Linked DNA regions of Macaca mulatta. Each later gene encodes a partner of the first gene's protein in a complex. Links are inferred from orthologs where the notes say so. Each region holds a gene or a part of one and is shown in the gene's direction. Other genes may lie near its edges.

Evidence for each region.
Region 2: DDX39B (region 1) and SARNP share a complex: the UniProt entries of both Homo sapiens proteins name them as parts of the transcription/export (TREX) complex. The link is inferred for Macaca mulatta from reciprocal best matches to the Homo sapiens genes DDX39B and SARNP.
Region 3: DDX39B (region 1) and PPP1R8 share a complex: the UniProt entries of both Homo sapiens proteins name them as parts of the spliceosome. The link is inferred for Macaca mulatta from reciprocal best matches to the Homo sapiens genes DDX39B and PPP1R8.
Region 4: DDX39B (region 1) and THOC7 share a complex: the UniProt entries of both Homo sapiens proteins name them as parts of the transcription/export (TREX) complex. The link is inferred for Macaca mulatta from reciprocal best matches to the Homo sapiens genes DDX39B and THOC7.
Region 5: DDX39B (region 1) and THOC1 share a complex: the UniProt entries of both Homo sapiens proteins name them as parts of the transcription/export (TREX) complex. The link is inferred for Macaca mulatta from reciprocal best matches to the Homo sapiens genes DDX39B and THOC1.
Region 6: DDX39B (region 1) and CHTOP share a complex: the UniProt entries of both Homo sapiens proteins name them as parts of the transcription/export (TREX) complex. The link is inferred for Macaca mulatta from reciprocal best matches to the Homo sapiens genes DDX39B and CHTOP.
Region 7: DDX39B (region 1) and THOC6 share a complex: the UniProt entries of both Homo sapiens proteins name them as parts of the transcription/export (TREX) complex. The link is inferred for Macaca mulatta from reciprocal best matches to the Homo sapiens genes DDX39B and THOC6.

What each region holds. Positions count from the first base shown.
Region 1 is NC_133409.1:150,793,216-150,797,182, forward strand, and holds part of DDX39B (spliceosome RNA helicase DDX39B), read left to right. Parts: intron 1-1,116; coding exon 1,117-1,300; intron 1,301-1,350; exon of another isoform or gene 1,351-1,426; intron 1,427-2,310; coding exon 2,311-2,429; intron 2,430-3,967. UniProt on the Homo sapiens protein: Involved in nuclear export of spliced and unspliced mRNA. Component of the TREX complex which is thought to couple mRNA transcription, processing and nuclear export, and specifically associates with spliced mRNA and not with unspliced pre-mRNA.
Region 2 is NC_133416.1:62,948,410-62,952,376, reverse strand, and holds part of SARNP (SAP domain-containing ribonucleoprotein), read left to right. Parts: intron 1-1,104; coding exon 1,105-1,156; intron 1,157-2,333; coding exon 2,334-2,407; intron 2,408-2,853; coding exon 2,854-2,882; intron 2,883-3,967. UniProt on the Homo sapiens protein: Binds both single-stranded and double-stranded DNA with higher affinity for the single-stranded form. Specifically binds to scaffold/matrix attachment region DNA. Also binds single-stranded RNA. Enhances RNA unwinding activity of DDX39A.
Region 3 is NC_133406.1:213,109,810-213,114,310, reverse strand, and holds the start of PPP1R8 (nuclear inhibitor of protein phosphatase 1), read left to right. Parts: upstream 1-1,297; 5' UTR 1,298-1,303; coding exon 1,304-1,359; intron 1,360-3,216; coding exon 3,217-3,277; intron 3,278-4,501. UniProt on the Homo sapiens protein: Inhibitor subunit of the major nuclear protein phosphatase-1 (PP-1). It has RNA-binding activity but does not cleave RNA and may target PP-1 to RNA-associated substrates. May also be involved in pre-mRNA splicing.
Region 4 is NC_133407.1:127,419,233-127,423,934, reverse strand, and holds the start of THOC7 (THO complex subunit 7), read left to right. Parts: upstream 1-1,764; 5' UTR 1,765-1,807; coding exon 1,808-1,826; intron 1,827-4,702. UniProt on the Homo sapiens protein: Component of the THO subcomplex of the TREX complex which is thought to couple mRNA transcription, processing and nuclear export, and which specifically associates with spliced mRNA and not with unspliced pre-mRNA.
Region 5 is NC_133423.1:71,588,440-71,592,406, reverse strand, and holds part of THOC1 (THO complex subunit 1), read left to right. Parts: intron 1-1,246; coding exon 1,247-1,365; intron 1,366-1,814; coding exon 1,815-1,863; intron 1,864-2,273; coding exon 2,274-2,369; intron 2,370-3,967. UniProt on the Homo sapiens protein: Component of the THO subcomplex of the TREX complex which is thought to couple mRNA transcription, processing and nuclear export, and which specifically associates with spliced mRNA and not with unspliced pre-mRNA.
Region 6 is NC_133406.1:113,394,869-113,398,835, reverse strand, and holds part of CHTOP (chromatin target of PRMT1 protein), read left to right. Parts: intron 1-1,358; coding exon 1,359-1,512; intron 1,513-2,117; coding exon of another isoform or gene 2,118-2,201; intron 2,202-3,967. UniProt on the Homo sapiens protein: Plays an important role in the ligand-dependent activation of estrogen receptor target genes. May play a role in the silencing of fetal globin genes.
Region 7 is NC_133425.1:4,268,876-4,272,234, forward strand, and holds the end of THOC6 (THO complex subunit 6), read left to right. Parts: intron 1-218; exon of another isoform or gene 219-488; intron 489-636; coding exon 637-752; intron 753-853; coding exon 854-918; intron 919-992; coding exon 993-1,096; intron 1,097-1,180; coding exon 1,181-1,218; intron 1,219-1,295; coding exon 1,296-1,344; intron 1,345-1,446; coding exon 1,447-1,518; intron 1,519-1,609; coding exon 1,610-1,712; intron 1,713-1,797; coding exon 1,798-1,847; intron 1,848-1,936; coding exon 1,937-1,999; intron 2,000-2,095; coding exon 2,096-2,206; intron 2,207-2,291; coding exon 2,292-2,426; intron 2,427-2,500; coding exon 2,501-2,581; 3' UTR 2,582-2,654; downstream 2,655-3,359. Other genes in the region: BICDL2 (BICD family-like cargo adapter 2), read right to left, coding at 3,018-3,185, 3,260-3,359. UniProt on the Homo sapiens protein: Component of the THO subcomplex of the TREX complex which is thought to couple mRNA transcription, processing and nuclear export, and which specifically associates with spliced mRNA and not with unspliced pre-mRNA.

The sequences.
Region 1 (3,967 bases):
ACTCCTGACCTCAAGTGATCCACCCACCTCGGCCTCCCAAAGTGCTGGGATTACAGGTGTGAGCCACTGTGCCTGGCCTCATTAGTGACTTTAGGTTTACCATAGGATTAGCATCGTGACAGTCTGATTCCATGGTCATTCTTTTCCCCCTTAAAACTAGAGTTTCTGGTGTTATTTGACACTGTACCAAGGCCCAGATCCCTAACCAACTATTCACCTAATGGTTTTAACATGAAGTGATAATATTTCACCCAAAGCAGTAATTTCATGGGGTTTGTATGAAGGAGTTTGAGATTCTGGGTTTATTTAGGAAAACTTAATGTTCCATGTGTTTTTTTGTGGTACTTTATACTAATCCTGGTAATTTCTTGCCGTCCTTTATTTATTTATTTTTTATTTTTTGAGATGGAGTCTCGCTCTGTCATCTAGCCTGGAGTACAATGGCTCAATCTCGCCTCACTGCAATCTCCACTTCCTGCATTCAAGCGATTCTCCTTCCTCAGCCTCCTGGCTAAGTTTTGTAGTTTTTGTATTTTAGTAGTAAATTTGTAAATATTGTATTTTAGAAGAGATGGGGTTTCACCATGTTGGCCAGGCTGGTCTTGAACGCCTGGCTTCAAGTGATCCACCTGCCTCGACTTCCCAAACTGCTGGGATTACAGGCGTGAACCACCGGGCCTGGCTTTATTTTATTTATTTATTTATTTATTTAGAGACGGAATATCACTCTTGTTGCCCAGGCTGGAGTACAATGGTGAGATCTTGGTTCACCGCAACCTCTGCCTCCCGAGTAGCTGGAGTTATAGGCGTGCGCCACCACACCTGACTCCTTTATTTTTAAAATGAGGCTTGGCCTCATAAATGAAGGAAGACGGTTAGATTAAGTCAGAAGAACTGAATTATTGTCCTGACTGCTCCGACTAGCTATGTAACTTTAGGCAGTCACCCTCAGTGTTTGGTGGGGGGACATAACATTTCTAAATTAGGTGACCTCTAGAGTTCGTTTTAGTTTTGAAACATGCTAAAAATTGGTTTAGCTCAAACAGTGGGAACTCTGGGGGGATTGGACTCTTTCCTTCCTCTTTTTTGAGACTCTTTGCTCCTGGCTCTCGGCAGGTTGCTGTTTTTTTTGGTGGTCTGTCTATCAAGAAGGATGAAGAGGTGCTGAAGAAGAACTGCCCGCATATCGTCGTGGGGACTCCAGGCCGTATCCTAGCCCTGGCTCGAAATAAGAGCCTCAACCTCAAACACATTAAACACTTTATTTTGGATGAATGTGATAAGATGCTTGAACAGCTCGGTGAGTGGCAGTGCTGGGACTTGGCTAATGCTGGGGAGTTGTTCTTTGGAGCCAAATGATGTTTATTTGAAACAGGAGCGCCTCAGTGCAAGGACGACTCTTATCTATCACCCATGACTGATGGTTCTGGGTTCCCTGGTTGGGCTTTATTATGCTTTTAAGCACAGTAAAGGATGTCATCTATCATCTTTCTATGATTTTTGTTTTTAATCTTTGAGAATAGGGGACTTCGGTAATTTCAGGCCTAAGTTATCACCACCACCATCGTTTTCATTATAGATTCCTATACTGGAAGTCATAGGGGAGATTCTAAACTGAAAGAGAAGACAGTACCCTTCTGGCATCTCCAGCACAGCATTTACAGTCAGAATTTATAGCTGAATAAGTTTCTAGACTCAGGTCTGGGATTAATGTAGAGAGTGTAGCAGTTCGTGTGGTGTGGTATTCTAGTGTGTCAAGTGGGGTTAATGGAAGTTTTTTCTGTAAGATTTGAATCTTGGTGAATGAGTGTGGGGTTGGACATAGGCCCCATAAGTCATTACAAATGGTCTTCGGCAATTCAGTGTGGTGAGTTACAAAGGTGGGCTCCAGGTAGCAATGTCATATTTGCCTGAGTTGATAGAAAAGTGATCCAGAGAGTCATAGATGGACTCTGCTACCTGGAATGTAATATATGGTTGATACTTGTAGTCTCCTGAGGGCTGGCTGGGGCTTGGACAGGAAAGGATTGGGAGAAGGGCCTGTAAAGCATGTTTCGAAGGCCTTGAGAGCGTCTGCACTGGGCTTTGTCCCCGTTTTATAGTTGGGAACTTTGGGGTTTTATCTTATTTCTTGCTTGGTTAAAACGAACAGCTGGAATCTGATCCCAATTCTTGATTCCAAGTCCATTGCTTTTTCCGTTGTGTTATTACTATTTCCAGCAATCTTCACCTCACTGGAAAGTCTACCTCTAATCTTTGTTTATCATACTTGCTTATTTTCTCCTACAATTTTTTTCCTTGTTCTTGTAGACATGCGTCGGGATGTCCAGGAAATTTTTCGCATGACCCCCCACGAGAAGCAGGTCATGATGTTCAGTGCTACCTTGAGCAAAGAGATCCGTCCAGTCTGCCGCAAGTTCATGCAAGATGTAAATACCCTTCTACCTTCTCTCCCTCCACTCCCCGCCCGCTGCCTCCTCCCCTTCCTCGCCCTCTTCCTCAGACTCCCTTGTCATTCAAGTGCCAAGAAGGCGGCTTGTGCCCAACTGGGAGTAATGACTCCTTGAAGAGACATACAGAAGCAGAGACAGCTAGTGTTAGGGTCTGCGCGGGTGCCAGGGAAACTCCGGAAGACTTGGTCGGGTTAATGTGAGAGCGGGTAGTGTTCGACTTTTTCAAAAATCACAACATTTTTGAACCTCTTCTCCCTTTGGGGGAGGGCAGAATTTTTCTGCCCTACCACCCACCCATCGTCTCTTACGTGCCCCCTACAGCCACGCACTGTCAAGGTGGCGTCGAGCATACAGCTGGAGCCTTCTGCTCACCAAAACTCCTACTTTCCGGTGGCAGGAGAGCAAGAGAGGGACAGACAGATGGCAGGGCATGTCCAAAAGAAGAGCATCAGCACAAATGAATCCTCCCCTTCCCCACCTCCAGGGGTGGGGGCCTTTGGCACCTCAATCCCCGATACCCTACTCCTTCCCACCCACATCTCCTTGCACCCATCTGGAACCTCGGTTGATGTGAGCCGGCAACAGAGAAGCACCGTGGCGCGGCGAGGGAATGCAGACGGCACCCAGCGGTGGATGGCGGCAGCGGAGGCCGCGGGGAAACCTGACCAGGAAGCTGAGGACCAAACCAGCCTCTTTTTCCGTTCCCGGTTTTTTTCCTGAACCCAACGCGTGCCGTGCCCCGTTTCCCCCCATATGTGTTGGGGAGGGGTGTCCTCAATGGGGTGGTAGATTTTTTTTTTTTTTCCTTAAAAAATTTTTTTGTTTTTTTTAATACTCAGAGGAGAGGGACATAGGAAAGGTAAAGTGGATGTAATCGGGTGGGTGTTAGGGTTTGGGGCTAGGTGGGGCCAATTGCATAAGCAGTGGAGTGTGTTCTCCCTGCAGTGTTCCTTCCCGTGGGATGATAACTCTTTAGCTTTATTTGGGGCTAGAATGAGATTTGAAGAAGGCCATGGAACTTCTCTTTAGAAAGCCTGCCTTGGCTGGGCCTGGTGGCTCACCTCTAATCCCAGTGCTTTGGGAGGCCAAGATGGGAGGATTGCTTGAGCCCAAGAATTTGAGACTAGCCTGGGCAGTGTAGTAAGACTTTGTCTCTACCAGAAAAACCAGGCGTGGTGGCGCATGCCTGTAGTCCCAGCTACTTGGGAGGCTAAGGCAGGAGGGTTTGCTTGAGCTTGGGACACGGAGGCGGCAGTAAGCTGTAATTGTGCCACTGTACTCCAGCCTGGGTGATAGAGTAAGACCCTGTATCAAAACCTGCCTTTTGGGATTGGGCTTCTGTTTTTTCCCATGACATACCCATCCTTTCCTATTTTGTCCTCTGGGTCTTAATATTAACTATCTTCCCCCAGAGAAGTACAAAAGTGTTAGGAAAGTTGTATTTTGGAGTTGTGGTAATTTCTGTCTTTGTTACTCTCCTCCCCTTCAGGGGGTTTTTAAATTTTAAAGATGAA
Region 2 (3,967 bases), on another chromosome or scaffold:
GAAAATGTCATTAAACCATTACTACCTTTCAGGGCATCAAATGGGAAAAGTGTCCGGGATATTGGAACAAAAGCTGCCCATGTCTCTAAATGAGGGACCTTAATGAGACTGGTTATGACCCACAGTTTTATGGGAGTTGTTTGGTGGAGGGTTAATGCCCTTCCATTTATCCTGGGTACTTCCGAACTTTGTCTCCCGCCCCTGTGGTCCCCCCTCTTTTGTTTTCTCTTAAACCTTTGACCAGTAACATGCCATGTTTTCCTAATTCAAACTCCCCTTAGACTTTTTTCTTCCTACCTTCTTTGGCATTTTTATTTGTTCCACTTTGTTCCAACTAGAGCTACATTCCTCATGGGAGAAATAAGGGATTTTTAAAAGAAGGAAACCAGACCTTGTAGAGTACTTAATTGTTGTGATGAATATTGGGAGCTGGTGCTTAAAGGAGGATTGGAGGGTTACTCATTAGTTCAAAAGTAAATTAAAGGCTGGGCTTGGTGGCTGACGCCTGTAATCCCAGCACTCTGGGAGGCTGAGGCAGGTGGATCACTTGAGGCCAGTTCGTAACTAGCCTGGCCAACATGGTGAAACCCTATCTTTACTAAAAATACAAAAATTAGCTGGGCGTGGTGGCAGGCGCCTGTAATTCCAGCTACTTGGGAGGTTGAGGCAGGAGAACCTCTTGAACCCAGGAGGTGGAGGTTGCAGTGAGCCAAGATTGCACCGTTGCACTCCAGCCTGTGTGACAAGAGCAAAACTCCGTCTCAGAAAAAAAAAAAAGTAAATTAAAAAGTTCCTAAAAGCAAATGAGATGGTTTCTGGTGTCCTTTGAGTGTTTCCCTTCAGCCCAGTGTATTTAACCAGACTTCTTTCCTTATTTCTTTATTGTACTTTAGCTAAAGAAGATTAGTTTGTTATTTGAACTCTTTCTTCTCAATAGATGACAGTTAAAGGAACCAAAGCTCTAGTGAACTTCATGTTTCCTTGGCATAAGGGGTGGCAGAGAGATAATAGGGCAGAGATAATTCAAGTGAATTTTTACACATTTCTGAGGTTGTGGTTTAGAATATCAGTTTTCTCATTTTAAAAGATCTCTTTCTTTTCTAGGGCAGCAGAGAAGAAAGTGGTGAAAATTACATCTGAAATACCACAGACTGAGGTAGGTATTCTGTTCCCTAGTAGAACAGTCTCTACATTTCTGTCTCCCTCTTACCCTTTATTATATCTGCATCATCCTCTAAAATTTATTCACAGGCAGAAAATCAGTATTGACAGATTTTGGTGTTGAAACGTTTCACTGCCAGCTGCTCTTTGGAAAATATTTGGCTGGCATAGGGTAGTCTTTCTTGAAGCTGTAGTCTTTTTATATGTAACACTATTGTCTTAACAATGACTCTCTTTGAGATGTTTACAAACCTAGGATTAGAATTTGGGAGGATTGTACTTTGAAAATGTATTGGTAGATGTGACTCTTATGTTGCTACCGGCCAGTAGCTGAGATTGAAATTCCACTGGTTTCTGTGGGGTAGGACTGTGAAACCAGGTTCCAGTTGAGATCTTGTGTTCAGTGTCATACTTGCAAAGTAGAGAATTATTAAACTCTTTTAGAATGGCATAAAACAATGCTGCCTCATTTCTAACTGAAAGAATGCCATTAGTGTTGGAACCAAGCTATTCCTTTGATTACTTTTCAAAGGTCAGCCAAACATAGCTTTTGACTTCTTGGCTTCATGTATAATATAGGTTTTACTTTATTTCTCCCTTTTGTTTTTGAGGGTATGTAATAATAGTCTTTTTGTGTTTGCTTTCTGGGAAGGGCTGTTAAGTCCTAGTATGGACACAACCTGCTATCTTCTAGGATTGTCAGTATTTTCAGTTTGGACCCTAAGAAATTACTTCTGATGTTTTTAAGATACCTTCTTTTGGCTGGGCGGGGTGGCTCACGCCTGTAATCCCAGCAGTTTGGGAGGCTGAGGTGGACAGTTCACTTGAAGTCAGGAGTTCGAGATCAGCCTGGCCATCATGGTGAAATCTCATTTCTACTAAAAGCACAAAAATTAGCTGGGCACAGTGGCACAGTCCTCTAATACCAGTTACTCGGGAGGCTGAGCCACGAGAATCGCTTGAACCCAGGAGGCTGAGGTTGCAGTGAGCTGAGATCATGCCACTGTACTCCAGCCTGGGGGACAGAGTGAGACTTTAAAAAAAATTTTTTTATTTTTATTATTTTTATTTTTTTAAAGATACCTACCTCTGACTAACTTTCTTAAACCATAAATTGACTTCTTTTTTCTTCCTTTTTTTTTTTTTTTTTTTTTTTGTCTATTTTTACTTAGAGAATGCAGAAGAGGGCTGAACGATTCAATGTACCTGTGAGCTTGGAGAGTAAGAAAGCTGCTCGGGCAGCTAGGTGAGTGTCCCCAGCCTTTTGGGCCTGCGATAGTGATGTTGTAAAGGTGAAGATATGTGATCCTAGGTTTTTGATATAATTGTTGATTTAAGTAGAATAGAGGCTTGCTGAAGGATATGAACACTTTTTTGACCCTATTCAGAACGTATCTACTGGTTTGGTTATAGTAGCTATAAATTGGGCTTTATTGAGAAGGGTTTTTGTAACAGTTAAAGCCAGGAACTGACTACTACTACTAATTCTGATAAGGCTTCCTCTTAGCTTAATCTCTGGACTTGGTAAGAGGGAGAGTAAACTGAACCTCTTTCATGGGGTTGTTAGAATTAGCTAATGATTGCAAGACTTGAGATCACAAGCAAGAAGTGTCATATGTATACTTGACACGGAGACAGACAACCAGGAGTGTGAACAGCTTCCTAAAATTTAGTTTGTTTTTCCTTCTTCAGGTTTGGGATTTCTTCAGTTCCAACAAAAGGTAAGAGTACAGAGATACTTCTGAGAAAGTTACCCTTTTATTCTTTCTTTTCTGGTATAACAGGTTTCATTTCTCCAAAATAAAGTAAATTTGCTAGCTGTAGAAACTCTTAAGAGATTATAGCATTCATCTCCTGCTTTAGATATAATTATACTTAGGCCTTCCTGGGCAATTAAAAGAGATACTGAATGTTATGAGAGGATAGGAAGTGCCAACATTTGTCTGTCTTTCTTGAACATCTTCAAAGAAGTTTCTCTAGTACTTTGCTTACTTATTCTAGGGTCTCAACTGCATAAAATTATTGCATACTTTCCAGTGTTATACTGGCTATTATAAGTGATAAAAGGGAAAAGAATATCTTCTACCTTAACAGTTTTACTTCTAGGAACGTATAAGGAAATAGTCTTGAATGTGCATAAAGACTTAGCCTCAAGGATTATCACAGCATTAATATCACAGTGATCAATAACTGGAAACAACCAACTGTACAACAGAGAATTGGTTATTAAATGTGTGCCATGGTATAGAAGACTATACTGTGCTGAAATAATATTGAAAGATATTTATCAGCGATATTAATAAAAAGTTACAAATTTATATTAACAGTATGTTCCCATTTTAGTCATGTAAGAGTGCATGTATAGATAGGAAAAAAGGTTGGAAGGATATACAGTAGACACTTGAACAACACAGGTTTGAACTGCACAGGTCCACTTATACATGGATTTATTTTTTTTCCCCAATAAATACACTTTGCCCTCTGTATCTGAGGGTTCTTCATAACCAAATGTGGTTCAGAAATACAGTATTTTTGGGATGCGAAACCTGCAGATATGGAGGAGCAACTTATTATAATCCGCTGCAGAACTTGAGCATAGTGGATTTTGGTATCAGCTGCAGGGTTGGGGTTGGATCCAATCCCCTGAGGAAATGGAGGGATGACTGTATTCTAAAATGTTAGTACTCATTATCTCTGGTTGGTGGAATTTTGAATGATTTATTTCTTTTTGCTTGTCTGTGTTTTTAAAATCGATTCAATGAATATGTATCACTTTTATAATGAATTAGAGGAAATTATTACTATT
Region 3 (4,501 bases), on another chromosome or scaffold:
TGTGAGAGAGAATAGTGATTCATGAGCATGGCCTTTGGCAACATACAGGTTTAGGTTTTTTTATCCCACTCACCACTTGTTCTAGGGTGAGGCTGGGCAACTCAATCTCTCTGAGCCTCTCCTCTGGAATTATAATAATACCTAACTCAAGAGCCTTGTCAGGATTAAATGAGATGATCCATATAAAATACATACTTGCCAAGGTAAGTGCTCAACAGACAATGCCATTACAACCAGAGGCCCTGCTAATGGTCTCTTTCAGTCATCTGGTGATCTAGGGCAAGCCAGCAATCCTAATGCTTCCTTGCACTATAACCAAAAGCAAAAAATCCTTTTTTAAAAAATTAACCATTTGAGCCAAGCACAGTGATGATTTGGACCCCTGCTTTCTGACTGGACCTGCTCCTGGCTCCAGCTTGTCCAGAGTTTTCATAAACAGACCAGGTGACCCCTAATGCAGATTCCCTGATAATCTACAGGCCTAGACGTGGATTAGGAAAAAAGTGAGTAAAGTGCCACTTTTTGGAGAAGGGCTGGATAAGTAGAAACAATAATCACTCCAATCTCCAAGTTTTGCCCTTTAGCTTCTCTGCTTTGAGGGCAAAAGGCTGACGGTCTTAACCTAAACGTTGGAGGAGGATGCAGTCCCCAGATTTTTTCCTTCTCTTTTTTTCTTTTTCTTTTTTTTTTTTTGAGACGGAGTCTCGCTCTGTTGCCCTGGCTGGAGTACAATGGCGCGATCTCGGCTCACTGCAACCTCCGCCTCCCGGGTGCAAGCGATTCTCCTGCTTCAGTCTCCCAAGTAGCTGGGATTACAGGCATGTGCCACTACCCCCGACTAATTTTTGTATTTTTAGTAGAGACGGGGTTTCACCATGTTGGCAAGGCTGGTCTCGAACCCCTGACCTCAAGTGATCCGCCCGCCTCAGCCTCCGAAAGTGCTGGGATTACAGGCGTGAGCCATCGCGCCCGGCTTAGTCCCAAGATTTTAGAGCCCAGAAGCGTTTGCAGGAGGACGCAGGGAGAGACTGACTCCCCTCCCTACAAAGTCGCTTTTCCTTTGATACCTCCTGGCCAAGGAAAACCATACACTGGAGACTTCCAGAGACGGCCAACTCGCACAAACGGTGGAAAAAAAAAATCCCAAAACCTACACTGTCCCCACTAGAAGCACCGCCCCCCGTACGCGCGTGCGTGCGTGAGCGTGCGTACGCACAGGCTGCTGGGATGCCGCTTTTCCCTTTTCGGTCTTCCAGTTTCCCGGCGTGCTTCGGGCCCGCCAAATGGGAGGGGGAGACGCAAGATGGCGGCAGCCGCGAACTCCGGCTCCAGCCTCCCGCTGTTCGACTGCCCAACCTGGTGAGTGGCGGGGCGGCCAGGGCTAGAGTGGCCTGGCCGGAGCTAGCCTGGGCTGGAAGGGCGGCTCTTTTTTTACTTTTCTGCTGCGAGCCGAACGGCTCAGAAACCCTGGAATGGTTGAGGAAAAACTGTTCGCTGCACCGGGCCGGGCGACGTGTTGAAGAACCGAGAGCCTGGAGCCCAGGCCCAGGAACTGAAGAAACACGGGATTGGGGGCTCAAAGGCGCTCACTTAGGCAGCCCCTTTGAGCGATTAGCCAGTCGCTGGAGCGCTTTGAGGCCTTTGCCCGAACTTACGCCCAACTCCTGACTGAGTGCCTGGTGCTCTCATGGAGCATCGTACCTGGCCCCTTCCTGTACGTCCCGAGCGCTCTCGAGCCAGCCCCTGCCCCAACCCTACGTCTGAGCCCCGCATCCCTCTTTGGTTGCTGCATCCCTCGTGCGGCACTTTTCTGTCTGCCACAGAGAACACGAGGGTAGGTTAGCGCCCTCCCTGCCCTCAGGGAGCTCCCAGTCTGTGGCACGAGTAGGCATTAGTAATGGCTGGCATGAACCCTTTTTATCCCTTCGAAAGTTCTTGGGAATAATGAAATAATTTGGCCTTTGAGTAGAGTACAAGTTGAATAAATATGAATTACCTTACAAGGAAACGCTTCTGAAATTAAGAGTTTTTTTCTGCTGTAGCTCATCGCAGTGTATTGTTTGTTACTTGTCTCTGTCTCCCGTTATATTGCCATCCTCAAGGGCAAAGACTGCATCTTTGTATTCCCAGCTCCAAGGCCTGAGTCAGGCACATACAGAAAGTATATTTTGGATGTAACATTCCTCCTTTTTCGTGGACAAAATGGCCTTTTGTCCGGTGCACTGTCCTTTCCATAGAGGAGGGGTTGGGGCAGGATTGTTTGAGATGACTGTGTTGCATCTTCAGTTAGCTAGACAAGGATACGTTTTTTTCGTGTGCAAATCTAGAGGTTCTAGTGAGGTGGTTCTTTTTTCTAACTTCAAATTAGCAAACCCAAAAAGCAAGCAAATGTGTGGCTATTTTCTGGATGGCTTTGCACTTTTGTAATGGTTGCTTCAGTCTACAAATTCTATATCCGTTTTGATCCCTCGCTGTATTGATTTCAAACTTGGACCAATACAGCAAACGTAGTTAGAAAGCACTGCTTTGAGATCACCTACCCTTTCCTTAGGGTCTGGTAGGTACCAGGCACTGTTAGGTGCTTTGACATATGTGAGTCTCCCTTGAATGATATGGCTGTAGGAGTATAGAGGAAACTTCCCTTAATCATGCTGTTGTAGAAAGACCTGTTCAAGGGTAACATATTCATTTGGTACCTGGTTTCATGGGGCATGATTTTGAATTGCCCTAGTTCCCTAATTATGCACCTCTGATTTGGTCTCAGAGCTCAGGACAGTACTCTGCTTACTCTGTGATGAGACTAATCTTGATCAGCCCCAAACAGCAACTAATTTATTCGATCTTTATATGATATTGGAGTAGGGGTAAATTTCAGATTCAAACTCCAGGTGACCAGACCACTCCAGCTATCGTACTTACACTCTCTATGCAGCTCTTTCTCTGAGGTGAAGATCCAGTGTTAAAATATAGGTTTCTTGGTGCTGCTCTAAATACAGATCCACTAAAATCTGTTTCAGAGCAGTTGAATCACTAGGGAAGTAAGTGTCAAACGTAGAATGGAGCTGTAATAACAGTGAAGTGGATGACATTTCTGCTTGAACATGAACTAATTATAGGCTGGCTGGTAGGAAAGCTGCAATGTTGAATGGGACAGTGATTGTAAATTGCATTTATAAACTCATCGTGAAAATGCTTTTTTCTATTTTTATTTTTCAGGGCAGGTAAGCCCCCTCCCGGTTTACATCTGGATGTAGTCAAAGGAGACAAACTAATTGAGGTATGGAAATACATGTCTTCCTTTTTTGCCCACCACACTAAAGATTTTTGCCAGTGACTCACTTTTCCACCCCCTCTCCTGTGCTTTGTTTTCCAGCAATGCTACTTTCTTTCATCCTGATTTTTTTTTCTGTTAAAAGCACATGGTGACATCACACACTTAAAGCTTGTATCTACCACAGACACTCACTTTTTTGTGACTTCTCTCAAATGAATGGTTTTAATAGGTCATGGGTCCTGTGGGCCCCAGTCAAACTGGAAGCCCTGTTAGCTTGGTTAATTCCCTCTCCCTGAGTACATGGAGTTGTGTAAACCGTGCAAGGTATGCAGTAACTGAAGAAAGTGAATGATATATGTTGAGTTTAACTTTTAAGTTAATTTTAAGAGATTCAGGCCCAACTCCTTATAAGAAATATGGTAAACTAAGACGACACTTACTCAAAAAGATAATGGAATTGTGGTGAAATTCATTAATTGATTCTTTGAAAACATGTATTGAGTGTTTACTATGTGCCAGTTACAGTGCTTGGCTTACAGATTGCAGCAGTAAGGGAAACCAACATGATTTCTCTCCTCAAGTCGTCCAGTGGAAGAGACAGAATCACACCAAAAAATTACATAGTTATATTTGAATTAAGTACTATAAAAGTTTAGCAGAATTCCAGCTTTTATACAAGCCTCTAGAGAGAACACCACATAGGAGTTCAAGAGAACATGAGTTTTTATTAGCTATTAGTTTACGTAAATTTTTTATAATCCTTATGGTATTATTTATTTACCAAGAGATGGATATTAAGCCCACCATGACCATGTAGCTGTGAGTCTCCCTGTATTAGACCAATTTTATATTTGCTTGCTCAGCTAGAATTTAGGTTCAAGGCCCCATTATTGAATGCAGTTTTTTCCTTGTGGTTTTTTGGTATTTAATAAAAATGTTGCAGTTCCATGGTTGCTAGATTGAAAAGCTATCTGAGATCTTTTGAAGGTTACTCTGTAAATATATTTTTGTCACTTTTGGGATTTTGTAGAGATGACCAGGTATTTTGCAAAGTATTAAGGCATGCATGAGTTTTAATGATTTCTCCTGTTATGAATACATCATGGACTCAGCCAGTCACAGAGAGCCGCTTTATCATGGGTTCTTCAATCTTAAAGATTTAAAACTTCAAGATTATTCAAAGAAATAATTTAGCTAAAATATCTGTAAAACTTTTTTTTACTACAG
Region 4 (4,702 bases), on another chromosome or scaffold:
AAGAACATTTCACCACATGACGATTACTTTCTAAATAACTATCCCCACCAAAATGCAACTTGGTATTGTGAACCCCAATCAACTGACAATTTCAGTTTACAATTTGTAGTACTTAAGATTTTTTTAAAACAGTTCTTCACTTAGAGTGCCCTGTCTCCTAACAAAGGAGATGAACAGGCTCTGATGCGCACCTACAGCCAGCGTTTAGGTCAGTATTTTTTCAAAGTCAGGGAAACTTCACACCCTAGGGGAGGGCAAGTTACATCTCAGAATCTTCACATAAAGTAATTTTTGTCTTTGTGACAAAAGTTAAATTCTTGAGCGCTAATTCTTGAGAGCACTGTAATGGTATTATTGAAGTCACTGGTCTCATATAATATGACTAAAATTGTACATATTTCTTGCTAGAGGTTAAACACACTTCACTTTAATACATTTGCATCTGCAGCTTCTCCTCTTTGAAAGAACTGGGGGGAAAACAGGGATAATGTACCTAAAGTTAGTAAGGAAACTGAAACAACCAAATTTATCCCACACAACTTCTTCATCCTGGATATGAAGATGCAAGATCTACTTAGTGGACAGGAAAATTGGAAAACAACGATATGACTGAATAAAATAACAAACCTGTGTCAACTGAGACATGATCCTGGTGCTAATCGTATCTATCCCACTGGAGGTCAAATCAGCTGTATTGGTGCCTGTTTCCTCATCCACCTCTCACCACCTAAACGTGCCATTTACGAGAAAGCTATCGAAGTTGAGTCAAAGTGATTTCGAAAAGAGATGCCCATATAATTTGCAGTGTGCTCCAGACAACTACACACAAGGCAACGTTTCTCATTGAGCACCCCCGCCCCCACTTTCAACTTCCCCTTAAGATAGGGACAGTCACAGAAACATTTTCTGAAAATCAAAGAGAAAAATAAATAAAAGCACCCCATCATGATCACCGACGAGATCCCGACTCTGTGGTGGAATTGGGTGCCGGGTGAGGACGATGGGCACACGCTCCTGGTCGCTCCGCGAACTCCTCCGGGAGGTCGCCAAGTTTCTCTTTCACCCTTTTTCCCGCACCCGCCGAGCCCAGGAAGGAAGGGGGCGGCCGCAGGGGCCGGAACCGCGCGACCTGGAACCCGGGGCCTTTTCTGATTGCCGGCCGCGCCCCGCGCAAGTGCCGGCGTTCGAGACCCGCCCCAGCGCGAGTGGGCGCCAACTTCGAGGGGACCCCCAGCGACGCGTCCCCTCTGTACCCCTAGTCCCGCCTCTCCCGGGCTCAGCCGGATCCTGGCGTCCCCGTCACCCTCCCCATCCCCCAGGGAAGCGAGCCCACCCCTAGCAGCGTCACCCTGGATGGGGCGGCGGGGCCGCAGTCACCTTCCCGGAGAAGGAGCTGGGGCCCCGACTCCGGGCGGCCCGCAGCCCCCGCCGCGTCCCCGCAGCCCTGGCGGCGTCCGGGCGAGCTCACCTGGCGGCTGGCTGCGGCCTCCGGGGCGGCCTCTGGGCGTGGGCCGGGCGGGGGCTGCAAGGGGGGCGGCGGGAGCCCGGCCTGCAGCCGGGGCCGCCGCCGGCCGCCTAGCCTCACCCCAACTCGCGCCGGCCGCGGCCGCCCCCGGGGAGTACCGGGAGCGTGGGGAGCGGGGGTCCCGCGGCGGCGGCGCGGCGCGGCTCAGGCGTCGGAGCAGGCGGCCGCGGGCGCCGCCGCCTCCTCCTCCATGGCTGTTTACCCGGCTGCATTGTGGGAGTTTGACCTCCGCCGCCGCCAACCGCCGCCTCAGCTTGCGCCGCCGCCGCCGCCGCGCACGCCATGGGAGCCGTGACTGACGGTGAGGCCCCGCTCACCGCCACCCGCGCCGGCTGCACAGCCTGTTCGGCCTCCCCGGAGACCCCTGGCCTCCCAGCCCGCTTCCGGGAACCCCTCGGCCTGCCCCGGCCGCTTCGCCCGAGCGCTTCGGCCTTCCAGACCCCTCCCCGAAGCCCCGGGCCTCCCCGGCTGCTTCCCTGAGTCCTTCCTCTCGCCAGAGGCCGAGCGCCCCTCGGAGCCCCTCGGCCTCCCCCGCCCGCTCTCCCGAAGGCAGCGCGGGGCTGTAGGGTGTGCCGGGAGCGTGGTCGGTGGGCTGGGAACACACGTGGGAGGCCGAGACGGCTAGAAGCGGTGCAAGGGCGGGTGGGACCGGAGGGAGTACGGGTTTGTCTAGGGGCGCGGTGAGGGCCCAGGAGCCGCGAATGGTGGGCGGTGGTGCCGGGCTTGGGGCTGGGGGCCTGGAAGGTTTCTGGAGGACTAGGAGGGAGTGGGAGCTCCAGGGATGGAACGGGAGTTTCGGGACTCGTCTACAAGGGATGTCAGGATACGGAGCGTGACACCTGGAGGGGTCCTGGGGCATATTGGGAAGGACTCACAGACAATGGAGTCGATGGCAATGAGGCCTTGAACTGCGAGTGGATTGTGGGTGAGGAGAGGGAGCAGGGAATTATTTATAAAAGGAATACAGAGGGATGAGGTATCCGGAGGGTAATGGGGAAGTGTACCTGGGAGATTTACGGGGGGTAAGGAGGAGCCAGTATAGTGATGAGAAACCATCTAGGGTAGGTCAGGAGGATAGAAGATGTATATGTGTTTGTTGGGGAGGGTGATTTGTCAGCTGGAATGGATTTAGAGGGGCAAAGACTGGGTTTGTGGACTGTCTAAGGGAGATGGTCTATGGAGTGAGAGCAGAAATAAGGTGACACTTTGGGGAAAGGGGAAGGGGCATGATCGGCAACTGGAGGGAGAACCTACAAGTTATCTGATTAGGGAGGAAGGAGGTCCTTTGATATCTGGGAAGGGGAGATCTAGGGCTTTTGGGTGTTTTTCAGGAGAGGGTGACCAGTAACTAAATGCCTGTGGAGAGGCCACTTCTGAAGAGTTGAAGACCACCAGGGTCTCCACATTAAAGGGCCTGGCCATGGGAAGAACAGTGATAGGCCCAAATTTGCAGACTGGTAAAGAGTAGTGGAGGTGGAAGACTACTAAAGACCCAGGAACTTCATGTAGAATTTCAGCTTTGCTTCATTCCAGTTTCATTTATTTAGTGGACATTTATCCTTCCTGGACTAGGCTTTGGGATTACAACCCAGAACCAACAAGCAAGAACTTTTCCCTCTCCAAAATTTCGGTCGGAAGGGAAAGAAACATTGACTAATGAGTTTTAAGAGTGACAAATATTACCACAAGGAAGTACAAGGTTGGTAACTGTAGGAACATGTAACAAAGATTATCCAATCAATGGAAATGAGAAAGCTTCCCCAAAAAAGATAATCCCATTTTTGAAGAATAAATAGATGTTGGACTGGTGTTCTGGGTTGTTAGCCACTTGTACAAAGGCCCCAAGATGTTGGAAGAACTCAAAGTTGACAGTTATTGCTAGAATTTAGAAAGTTATGAGCCAGAGATTTCTAAGGGCAATGGGAAGCCATTAAAAGTTTTAACATTGGTGTTGTGCTAATCAGATTGGCATTAACACACACACATGGCCGGGCACAGTGGCTCACGCCTGTAATCCCAGCGCTTTGGGAGGCCAAGGCAGGTGGACCTCTTGAGCTCAGAAGTTCAAGACCAGCCTGGGCAACATAATGAGACCCCATGTCTACAAATACAAAAAAATTGGTCTGGCACAGTGGCACACACCTGTGGTCCCAGAACTTGGGAGGCTGACAAGAGAGAATCACTTGAGCCTGGGAGGTCGAGGCTGAAGTGAACCACGATCGCATCAGTGCACTCCAGTCTGGGTGACAGAGTGAGACCCTGTCTCAAAAAAAAAAAAAACAAAAAAAACCGCATACACACTGTCTCTGTTATGTGCAGAATGATTAGAGGAAGAGAAAGTGAGGAGCTAAGTTTCCTTACCACTTACTAACGTTTACATGGTGCTGTCAGGTAATATTCTAATTGTTGTCCCCATTTTACAGATGAAACAGACACAGGTTAGCTTGCCCAAGGTCGCACAGATAGTAAGTCATAGAGGGTCAAAGGCAGGGAGACCACCTGCGGAGTTCCCGCTCTTCACTATTATGCCTCCTGTGTCTCCTATTTCTGCAGTGGCCCTGGTGAGAGACAATGAGGACTGTGACCAAGAGGGAATGCAGAGAAGAGGACAGGTGGGAGGGAAATTTGTGAGGCAGAATGTCAGAACTTCGGGTATTGAATGAATGCGGGGAGAAGGGGTTTAGGATGATCCCAGGTTTTTGACTTCACTGTGTGCCTGTTAGCACTACTTTTCTATTTATTGAGATAGAGATGTCCAAAGGAGCGATAGGCTTTGTCAGATGGGAGATAGGGACAGAAGATGAGTTCTGAAGTACTGACTGCAGTAGAGTGCCCCACCACATCCTTAGAGTCCACAGGAATCTCTACCCTGCCACTTACAGACTGTCTCAGCTTCGGTCTCTGAATGGAGATAATAATAAAATCTGTGTCAGCGGATTGTTTTGAGGATTAAACACAAAAAGTTGTAAAGGGCTTTGCATTGAGTCCAACACATAATAATTAATGTTCAGTAAATATTATTAAATGTCAGAGTAGTTTTACTAATCTGTCTTCCACTTTCCTTTGATGTGGACTGTGCCTTCTCTCTTAATCTGCACAGGTTGCCTTTTCCTGCCTTTTCTATCAGGTGACACTCCACTTTTTCCTCAAGACCCAACTCAAAAATCCCCTCTTTCC
Region 5 (3,967 bases), on another chromosome or scaffold:
GTGGAGGTCACTGTTTGAGTCCTGTTAGACAAGTGTGGTTATTGGTGTGTTCCCTTGTATTGAGTTGAAATCTGCTGTTTTATTCCACCACTGCTTTTCGGCAATATCCCTCACATCACATTCCAGATATGATCTTACTAGTGCAGAGTACAGCTGGAAAGATTTCTTCCTTTTTCTAGATATAGTGTATTAATGCACTGTTTTGGACTTAGATCACCCTAGATATTTTTCCCCATATACCATGCCTAAGTAACTACTTTTCTTAAACACTTATGAGTGTTAGTAAGTACCCATTGCCTTAAAATAGAAGGAAGGATGAGTAGGGATATAAAAGTATTTCTAGGTAGTCTGAATAGACTAAATAGACCTTTTCTTAAGAATATCTTAATTTTGTTGTTCTTTAAACAGTAACTTTCTACTTTTCCATTCTTTCCCCTGAAACAATACTGTTATTTTAAATGTTAAATCATAGTTAATATCAAACCTTGTTATTTTTTGAAGATAATCTTTTCAAATCACAAAGACAATTTAGCAACACTACAAAACATTTGGAAATGAGAAAAAGGGAAAACAGTACTCATAATTCCTCTACTTTTAAAAACCATTCATCTGGTATAATGGTTTTAGTTTCTATAGTCTTTTAAGAATTTTTTTATTGTCATAATCATATGTACATACAATTTTGAATCCTGCCTTTTTCACTTAGCATTATATCCTAAGCATTTTTCCAAGTTATTATAGTCGTTATAACCATCGTTTTTAATTGGCTGCATTATATTCTTTTGAATAGCTTAGTGGTGAAGAAAACAGACTGTGGAGCCAGACTGCCTGGGTTCGTATCCCAGCTCTGCCACTTACTGGCTCTGTGATCTTGGGCAAGTTATTTAACCTCTCTGTGTCTCAATTTTCCCATTCTATAAAATGCAAATAATGATATGCTCTACTTCATAGGGTTATAAGGATTAAATGTGTTAGTATATGTAAAGTACTTAGTGTGCCTGACATATAGTAAATGCTCTAGATCTTGTCAAGAATTATTGTCATCATTACTGAGTGCACATATCAAAAATTACTTAAATATGTCCTGTTTGGGGACTTGTAGGCTGCTTCCACTTCTTGTCCTTTTAAAACTTTGTTATGAGTAACAAAGTGTACCTTTTAAGATATTCTTCAGTATTATTTTTCATAGGCTGTTTTACTCTAATGTTTTTTTAAACTTTTAAACTGGCTTGTGCTCCACTTGAAGGTATTTGTACCGCATCTACACCTTTTGTATTGTTGGGAGATGTTTTGGATTGTCTTCCTTTGGATCAGTGTGACACAATATTCACTTTTGTGGAAAAAAATGTTGCTACTTGGAAATCAGTAAGTGCCTTAGTTTCTTTTCCTGCTAACTTTGTATTTCTGTAGATTCAGAGTTCTGAGGGTAGATTTAAAAAAAGAAATTATTTGTAGTATTGCTGATCGCCAACAAGTTTGTGCCTATGAAAAAATTATATACTGCTCTCTTGGGAGAGCCAAGTAAAAACCATGTGTGGAGAAAAACTTGAAATACAAAATTTGATTTAATTTGAGTAATAAAAACTAACTTGAAAATTCACACTTTCACATGTTAAAAACAGTATCATGTTTTCTTATCTTATATCTGAAAATATTTTCATTTCATTGAAAATGTTATTTACTTTAAAAAAGTGTAAGTGGCATAGTAGATTCTCAGTGCATGTTAGTGTTCTTTAATATTTTACTTCCTGCAACTTATTGAAGAATGTGTAACAAGTTCAGAAGAAGAGTGATAATTTCCATCTTAATTTCAGAATACATTCTATTCTGCTGGGAAAAATTACTTACTACGTATGTGCAATGGTAAGTAATTGAGTGATTAAATGATAGCTTTTTAAAATGTAAATATGCCCAGAAAAACATGTGGTTGAATTAAATACCAGTGATAACATTTTAAAAATAGATTAGGTATTTGTATTTTTAACTAACAATCGGATTTATTAGAACTCATTCACTTTAAGCTGTTTTTGTTCTGGGCATAAACTTAATGAAAGTCAGAAACATGTAGTAAAGTTTGTCTTTTTCATGTCATGTTGAACTTGTTTTGTTCCTAATTTCTAGTACTTTTTTGTGGCAGTGGTTTCTGCCCCCATTTTAAGAACTACTGCTTTAGGAAAATACTCTCGACAAACTGGTTTAGAAACTTTTAGGTATGGTTGTAATAAACATAGAATTATCTTTTCTGTGTAACGTTCATTTTCATATATCATTAGATCTCCTAAGAAGATTGTCTAAATCCCAGAATACAGTCTTCTGTGGACGGATTCAGCTCTTTTTGGCCAGGCTTTTCCCACTGTCTGAGAAATCAGGTAAGCTTTTATGCGTTAAATGAGTTTTCTGCAGGAAAATCTTTTCCAGTTTTTAATAGATTAAAATCTGTCATGATAATGAGAAAAATGGTTCTAAAAAGTTGAAAGACATCATAGAAATTGTCACTTTATTTTCTTTTACTTATAAATAGTTATAGCAGTCCTAGTATATAATACAGGTAATCTTGAAACAAAGTCATGGATTCTTTTAAGTTCAAAGCTTATTAACGTACAGTTGAATCATACTGAAACATGTAGATATAAACCGTCACATCTATATTTCGTAATGTATGCCTATTTTTGTGTTTCCATTTTCTCTCTCAGTCACGACTACTTAGCTATATAGACTTCCTTTCATTTCTCTTTTTTAACAGATTTTTATTGTGAAATATAATGCTTATATAGAAAAGTACATAAAGCAAATAATAATGAAACAAATACTGTATAACCACTCTGTAGCTCCTGAAATGGGACATTGCTTATTCTCCAGAGCCTTCCCCCTCCCCAGTCGGTTCAGATATGCGAGATTTTAATATCTCATTGCTTCAGTTCTCTTTTTCTTAATGCTGGGCTAATATACCACCTATTTTATATGTTGTGAGGATTAAATGAATTAAAACACGTGAAGAGCTTACAGTAGTGCCTGAGTATGGTTAGTATACACATATGTCTTTCCTAGCTCTGGTCTCTGAGAGGGCCGCAGAAGTAGTGATACTCCAGTAGCAATGAGCACATCTTCTCAAATGTAGATCATGAGGTCAGGAGATCGAGACCATCCTGGCTAACCCGGTGAAACCCCGTCTCTACTAAAAAATACAAAAAACTAGCCAGGCGAGGTGGCGGGCGCCTGTAGTCCCAGCTACTTGGGAGGCTGAGGCAGGAGAATGGCGTAAACCCGGGAGGCGGAGCTTGCAGTGAGCTGAGATCCGGCCACTGCACTCCAGCCTGGGCGACAGAGCGAGACTCCGTCTCAGGAAAGAAAGAAAAAAAAATCACTATGGTAGCTATAGCCTCATGAAATGTATTTCTTAGATAACAGGACTTGAAAGTTGAAATAACCCTTTGATTCATTGGCTACAAAATGGATGATGTATTAGCAGGCATGAAAACAACATTAATTTCCTTGTGCATCTCCATCAAAGCTCTTGGGTGACCAGGTGCATTGTGAATAAGCAATAACATTGTGAAAGGAGATCTTTTTTTTTCTGAGCAGTAAGTCTCAACAGTGGCCTTAAAATGTTCAGTAAACCATGCTATAAACAGATGTGCTGTCATCAGGGTTTGTCTTTATGGATGGAGCCCAAGGCAGAGTAGATTTAGCATAATTCTCAGGAGCCCCAGGATTTTCAGAATGGTAAATGAACATTGGCTTCAACTTAAAGTCACCAGCTGCGTTAGCCTTAACAAGAAGGTCAGCCTGTTCCTTGAAGGCAGGCAGTGACTTCTCTCTAGCTATGAAAGTCCTGGACGGCATCTTTCAATATCAGAATGTTTCATCTGCATTGAAAAATCTGTTAAGTGTAGACGCCTTCATCAATGTTCTTAGCTAGATCTTCTGATAACTTACTGCAGCTTCTCCATTGGTAGTTGCTGCTTCA
Region 6 (3,967 bases), on another chromosome or scaffold:
GGTCGTGCAGCACGGTAGCATGGTACCCTGGCTACAGTAGGCTTGCTGCCCAGTCCAAGGCCAGCAGTGTTGTGTCTGGCCTGTAAGAGGCAGGTAGCAAGCCATGAATATGTCCAAAGGTCCTTGAATGTCGTTCTTGGGCCTTGTAAGAGGCACTTGCTTTGCTCCATTTCACTTTCTTTCCATTCTGCTTTTAGTTTGGTTTTGTTTTGGATTCTTTTACAGTTAAGTGTTCTTCTCTTCCATTCCATTACACTTCCTTGACAGAAATAATGAGTCTCTTCACGGGCTCATAAATGATCGAACTAATCTAACTTTCAAAAGTAACTACTTGGAGTCAGAAAAAGTGATGATTTGAGACTAAGAAAAGTAAAAGTATTTAAAGGCAGTTTCTATTTTTGACAACTTTGTTCATTAAGAGTCCCTTTGGCTGGGCGCAGTGGCTCATACCTGTAATCCCAGCACTTTGGGAGGCCAAGGGTGGATCACAAGGTCAGTAGTTCAAGACCAGCCTGGCCAACATAGTGAAACCCTGTCTCTACTAAAAATAGAAAAATTAGCTGGGCGTGGTGGCGCATGCCTGTAATCCCAGCTGCTCGGGAGGCTGAGACAGGAGAATCACTTGAACCCATGAGGCGGAGGTTGCAGTGAGCCAAGATCGTGCCACTGCACTCCAGCCGGGGCAACAGAGAACAGAGTGAGACTCTGTTTCAAAAAAAAAAAAAGATTGCCTTTGATCAGTGATTTCATTAAGTTGACTTTAGACCACTGGAATTTACTTAATGTCTATTTTTGCCTCTTCTGAGGCATGTGTGCTTCTCTCCTTATCTCTTTGGCTATAGGCTAATTATTTATGTTTACATAATAATATTTATGTTTGCATGTTACTAAGTGACATATTTTAAAATGTGATACACTCCTGTAATTTATGAGAGTATGTTAATTGCTGTGAGCTTTGAAGGTGCTCTAGTCCTTCCTCATATTTGGCCTTAGAATGCACCTTGGATCCCCCAAGTTTAGGCTTTCTTTGTTTGTCTTTGAAACTATATCTTCTGTCTCTTGTCATATCTGCTTATTGCGTGTTTTTCATACCTTCCACCTCTGTAAAAGCTGTCACCTGAGCCCTTGTTATCACTTTTGGTTGAATGTGCTGCACTTAGCTGCATTTCTGAGTTTCTGATTCTTGCAAGTTTGTGGAAACAGAGGAGTCTTTAACCCACATCAGCCTTGATCTAAGTGTACCACTTTACTTAAAAGTTCGTGGGATCTGGAGCTCCTGGTCTAGCAAGCCATGAAAATGCCAATAAATGTTTGTAATAAAGCTTTTATTTAAACATCCATTTTGTTCGACCTTGAAGCTTTACTAATATGCTGAAGAACAAACAGCCGACGCCAGTGAATATTCGGGCTTCGATGCAGCAACAACAGCAGCTAGCCAGTGCCAGAAACAGAAGACTGGCCCAGCAGATGGAGAATAGACCCTCTGTCCAGGCAGCATTAAAACTTAAGCAGGTGAGAGAATGGGTCTTAATGCTCCAGAAGCAGCTGGTGATCTCTGTCAGGGAGTCCACTGAGGCTGTCAGAACGTGATGGATGATTGCAAAGTGGCTCAGGGCAAAAAACTGAAACTTCTCTGGAAGAAAGAGAAGTTCAGAGAATTCCAATTTTGGCAGGTACCAATAAGTAACTTTTTATTGTCTTTCTCTTTTAGGGAGTTTGCCATCTATGTGGCCTGTTTCTGTTACCAATGAGTATTAATCTTTTGTTTTCAGATCTTTAACCCTTAACATAAATTAATGGCTTATTCCACAAAGAAACTTTATTTCAGCTTTAGATAATCTCACAGCATCCTTTACTCTCTGTTAAATGATTTACCCACCAGGGAAATAATTTTATTCTTGTTCCCCTAGTGCAGGGAGTTTGCATGGCCTTAGTCAAAGATTTTCAATGCTAAAATATACAGAGTAGAGTGACCTTCATTTCCACAGCACCTAAAGTTTTACCAGTAAAGTGGAGCAAGAGTACTGAGTAATTTGAGTTAGGGGTTCTCTTTCAAACTTACAGTGAGAGATAATCCTATTCAGACCTGAATAAAACCTACTCTTTATTATTCATAGAATTTATATGCAAGTCCGGACAGTGGCTGTGGAAGGATATGTCCAAGCTGTGGCTGGGCGTCTGGAGGGCGGTGCCATGCAACTGTAAGGGCTTTGGTAGCATTGCATGGCTGTGCATAAATTCAGCAGTTAAATATAACACCCTTACACCCCCACCCTGAACCACTGGGCTCACTGACCAAAAATAAACAAGACTTTCTGCTTCGGCTGTCTTAAGCCTTGGAGTGACTGGATTCCTCCCTGACTCAGGAAAGCAGCAAAAGGCACCACCATTTTCCAAGAGTAAATGGAAATTGCTGAAGATGAGTCTCTGACAGATCATTCCAAAAGACCTTTCAACAGGAAGCTTTAAGTATAGGCTCTGCAGGAAGTAGTCCCGATCCAGAGTAGTAATATTCACTAGAATTTTTTTATGTGGTTTTGTTTTTTTGAGATGGAGTCTCACTCTGTCACCCAGGCTGTAGTGCAGTGGCGCAATCTCAGCTCACCTGCAGCCTCCACCTCCTGGGTTCAGGCAATTCTCCTGTCTCAGCCTCCCAAGTAGCTGGAATTACAGGCACCCGCCACCATGCCTGACTAATTTTTGTATTTTTAGTAGAGACGGGGTTTTGCCATGTTGGTTCAAGGCCAGAATGGTCTTGAACTCCTGACCTTAAGTGATCTGCCTGCCTCAGCCTCCCAAAGTATTTGGATTACAGGCATGAGCCACCGTGCCCAGCCAGAACTTTCTATAACGATGGAAATGTTCTGTGTTTGCTATCTGGTACAGTAGCTATTGAAAACTTTAAATGTGACTGGTGCAATTAAGGAGCTTAATTTTTTTTTAATTTAATTTTAGGCCAGGCCTGTAATCCCAGCACTCTGGGAGGCCAAGGCAGGCGGATCACTTGAGGTCGGGAGTTCGAGACCAGCCTGGCCAACACAGCAAAACCCCATCTCTACTAAAAAAAAAATTAGCCGGGCATGGTGACGCACACCTGTAATCCCAGCTACTCGAGAGGCTGAGGCTGGAGAATATCTTGAACTCAGGAAGTGGAGGTTGCGGTGAGTGGAGATAGCACCACTGCATTCCAGCTTGGGCGACAGTGAGACTCTGTCTCAAGAAAATAAATAAAATTTACTTTTAATTTAGGCTGGGTCTGGTGTCTCACACCTGTAATCCCAGCACTTTGGGAGGCCTAGGCAGGTGGATCACCTGAGGTCAGGAGATCAAGACCAGCCTAGCCAACATGACAGAACCCCATCTCTACCAAAAATAAGCCCAGCGTGGTGACAGCGCCTATAATCCCAGTTACTCAGGAGGCTGAGGCAGGAGAATTGCTTGAACCTGGGAGACGAAGGTTGCAATGAGCCAAGATCGTGTCATTGCACTCCAGCCTGGGCGACAGAGCGAGACTCTGTCTCAAAATAAAAATAATAATAATTTAAATAGCCACATGTAGCTAGAGGCTGCCTTACGCAGCACAGCTCTAGAGTGAAAACTAAGTGGTAGAGTTGACATCCTTAAGTTTCCTGTTAATATTAAAGGCCAGTATTGGTGGCAGTTAAGGATTGGAATGGATAAAGAACTTCCGAGCACTGTACAGTTCTCCCTTTAAAGCACAAAGCTTGGGAAATTACTATATGCAGGATAACTGAATGCAAGAGACTTGTGGAATGCAGTCTGACCTCATAATTGTGTGTTAATCAGGGGAGTAATAGGACAGGCTGTTATGGTTGGTTACACCTACTTATGCTAGATGCATAATGTTTGGAGCCTTTCCCACTGATTAGAAGCGATTTATGATCTTGTGCTAGAAAGTTAACAATAATGCTTCACAGCATGTTTTTTGAGAGGTATGATTAGAAAA
Region 7 (3,359 bases), on another chromosome or scaffold:
AGCTGAGATTACAGGCATGCGCCACCACTCCCAGCTCATTTTGTATTTTTAGTAGAGATGGGTTTCTCCATGTTGGTCAGGCTGGTCTGGAACTCCAGACCTCAGGTGATCCGCCCACCTCGGCCTCCCAAAGTGCTGGGATTACAGGCGTGAGCCACTGCGCCCGGCCCCACATTTTTAAATTTTTTGTTGAGACGGAGTCTCACTATTTTGACCAGGCTGCTCTCGAACTCCTGGCCTCCCCAAGCAGTGGATGACAGGCATGAGCCACCACACCCGGCTTCAGCACTGAGTGACAGCCCCATGGAAAGCTCTTGTCTATACACTAGCTCATCTAATGGTGATGGAATCTTCTGTGAGCTCCACTTGACAGTTGAGGAAGCTGGTAGGAGAGTGCTGGGTGCTTGCTCAGAGGTCCCTGAGGCATCACCTCGACTCGCCCCTTCTTCAGTGTCTTCTTGGAGCCGCCCATGGGACTGCATGGGCAAGTGCTGGCTTGGGGCCGGGCCGCCTCAAAAGAGGGCTGAGAAGTCAGGACAGTGGGAGGCCTGGCAGGTGTTGGGGGAAGCAGGAAGGAGTCTGTGGCTGGGAGGTTTCATACATCCCAGGCAGGCCTCATCCAGTTCTTCCCTGCAGACAGAGGTGTTCCAGGCCTTGCAGCGGCTCCATATGACCATCTTCTCCCAGAGCGTCTCACCGTGTGGGAAGTTTTTGGCGGCTGGCAACAATTATGGGCAGATTGCCATCTTCAGGTACCCTCTGCCGCTGTCCACCCATTAGCCCTGGCACTTGGCCCTCATGGGACGGATGCCCCTGTTTCTGACTCCTGGGTCCCCTCCGCTGTCCCCTGCAGCTTGTCCGCTGCTTTGAGCTCCGAAGCCAAAGAGGAAAGTAAGAAGCCGGTGGTGACTTTCCAAGGTGGGTATAGCTGTGGAGTCTGGCTTCGGGACTTTGGGTGGAATTGGTCAACTCAGTTCTGCATTTCTCTTTAGCCCATGATGGGCCTGTCTATAGCATGGTCTCCACCGATCGACATCTGCTTAGTGCTGGGGATGGGGAGGTGAAGGCCTGGCTTTGGGCGGAGATGCTCAAGAAGGTAAGGAGTTGAGCTCGGGAAAGGGCTGGGGTGCCGGGACCCAGAGAGAGCCTTTGAGGTCAACTGGTATTTTCCCTTTTGAAGGGGTGTAAGGAGCTGTGGCATCGGCAGCCTCCATACAGGTGAGCCAGGGCCACATGGATAGAGGGGGCATCGGGGTGAAGTGACTTCCTCACTGACCCTGCCTTTCCTTCCCCAGGACCAGCCTGGAAGTGCCCGAGATCAATGCTCTGCTGCTGGTCCCCAAGGTCTGAGCCCCATGTGACTGTTCTTGTCCAAACTTTGATCCTTCACCCTCTGCCTACCCTGATTTGACATTGACTTCCTGCCTCACCCTGCTCCCTCCACAGGAGAACTCCCTCATCCTGGCTGGGGGAGACTGTCAGTTGCACACTATGGACCTTGAAACTGGGACTTTCACGGTGAGCAGGGTCTTGGAGCCCTAGAGCAGGTCCAGGCCAGGGAGAGGCACTCTTCCTAGGTCTCCTCCTGACATCGCCCCTCTACATGCAGCGGGTCCTCCGGGGCCACACAGACTACATCCATTGCCTGGCACTGCGGGAAAGGAGCCCAGAGGTGCTGTCAGGTGGCGAGGATGGAGCTGTTCGACTTTGGGGTAAGGAGGTGGCTGGCTGGAGGGCAAGATGGCAGTGAAGGAGGCTGAGGTGAATGGGGCACCACTCACAGTTCTTTCCCCGCAGACCTGCGCACAGCCAAGGAGGTCCAGACGATCGAGGTCTATAAGCACGAGGTGAGGGTCTGTCCATGGCCATTGTCCTCTTCCCCTCCCGCTCCTTGAATTCTGCATGTCTTCACCTCTTTCCCTCCCCCGCCGCCCAGGAGTGCTCAAGGCCCCACAATGGACGCTGGATCGGATGCTTGGCAACTGATTCCGACTGGATGGTGAGCTGGGCAGACTGTGGGATTGGATGGCAGCTCCGGGCCCTGTCAGCTGTGGGCCTGTAGTTCACAGCTGGGGACTCCCACCTTTCTGTCCAGGTCTGTGGAGGGGGCCCAGCCCTCACCCTCTGGCACCTCCGATCCTCCACACCTACCACTGTCTTCCCCATCCGGGCGCCACAGAAGCATGTCACCTTCTACCAGGACCTGGTGAGTCCCTCTCTCTCACTTCTGCCACCCCAACTGACTCTTCCCTTCAGTCGTGACCCCCGAGCACCTTCCCTGTCCTCTGCAGATTCTGTCGGCTGGCCAGGGCCGCTGTGTCAACCAGTGGCAGCTGAGCGGGGAGCTGAAGGCCCAGGTGCCTGGCTCCTCCCCAGGGCTGCTCAGCCTCAGCCTCAACCAGCAGCCCGCCGCGCCCGAGTGCAAGGTGGGTCTGGCAGGGGCCATGGGGTGGCTGGGGCAGGGGTGTGGGCAGGCCAGTCATGCCCCTCTTTCCTCCAGGTCCTGACAGCTGCAGGTAACAGCTGCCGGGTGGATGTCTTCACCAACCTGGGCTACCGAGCCTTCTCCCTGTCCTTCTGACCTCCGACAACATCCCCAGCCAGCCCAGGGTTTTAGAGTGTTTTTCATTTTCTTTTTTACAATAAAGTTTCAGGCTTTTTTTCCATGCTCTTTCTTTCCACGAATGGAGGCTAAATCGGTGGAGTGATTTATATATTACTCTGTCCCATCTTGATACATAAATACCCAGCCCCATCCCTGCCCTAGAAAAGATAGACCTATATTGATTCGGAAAATAGCTCTGTTCACCTGCCCCTGCCACCCACCAGGGGCTCCTGCCCCACAAAGCTGGCCCCTGCTCCGGATGAGCCCCTGCTGCCGATGAGCCCTTGCCCAGCATCCTGGGGTGGGGAGGGCATCATCTCCTTTTGGAAGATAATCCAGGCCCTGTCACTTAATTGGCCAGAAGAGGAAAGTGAGCCCCTAAGCGGGCAAGGGCAGCCCCTGGGCCCAGCCGTCAGGTCCTTCGGAAGAGGTTGCTGAGAAAGCCACCGGCGGGCCCGGGGCCCAGGCGCAGCGAGAAGCGGGGCGCGGCACGGCGCGGGGTCGACGACGACGCGGCGGCGTTCAGTTCCTTCTGGCGCTGTGAGCGCAGCTGCTGCCCGATCACCACCTGCATGTCGTCCTGCGGGAGGCCGTGGTCGGCTCAGCACCGGTCCAGCCCCCTGCCCTCCTCCGCACACGGACCCCGCCCCTCACCTGCCAGGCCTCCAGCTCCTGCGTGAGCGCCACCTTCTGGCGGATGGCGCGCAGCAGCTCCCGGTACAGGGAGTCTCGCTCCAGCGAGACGCGGTTGAGC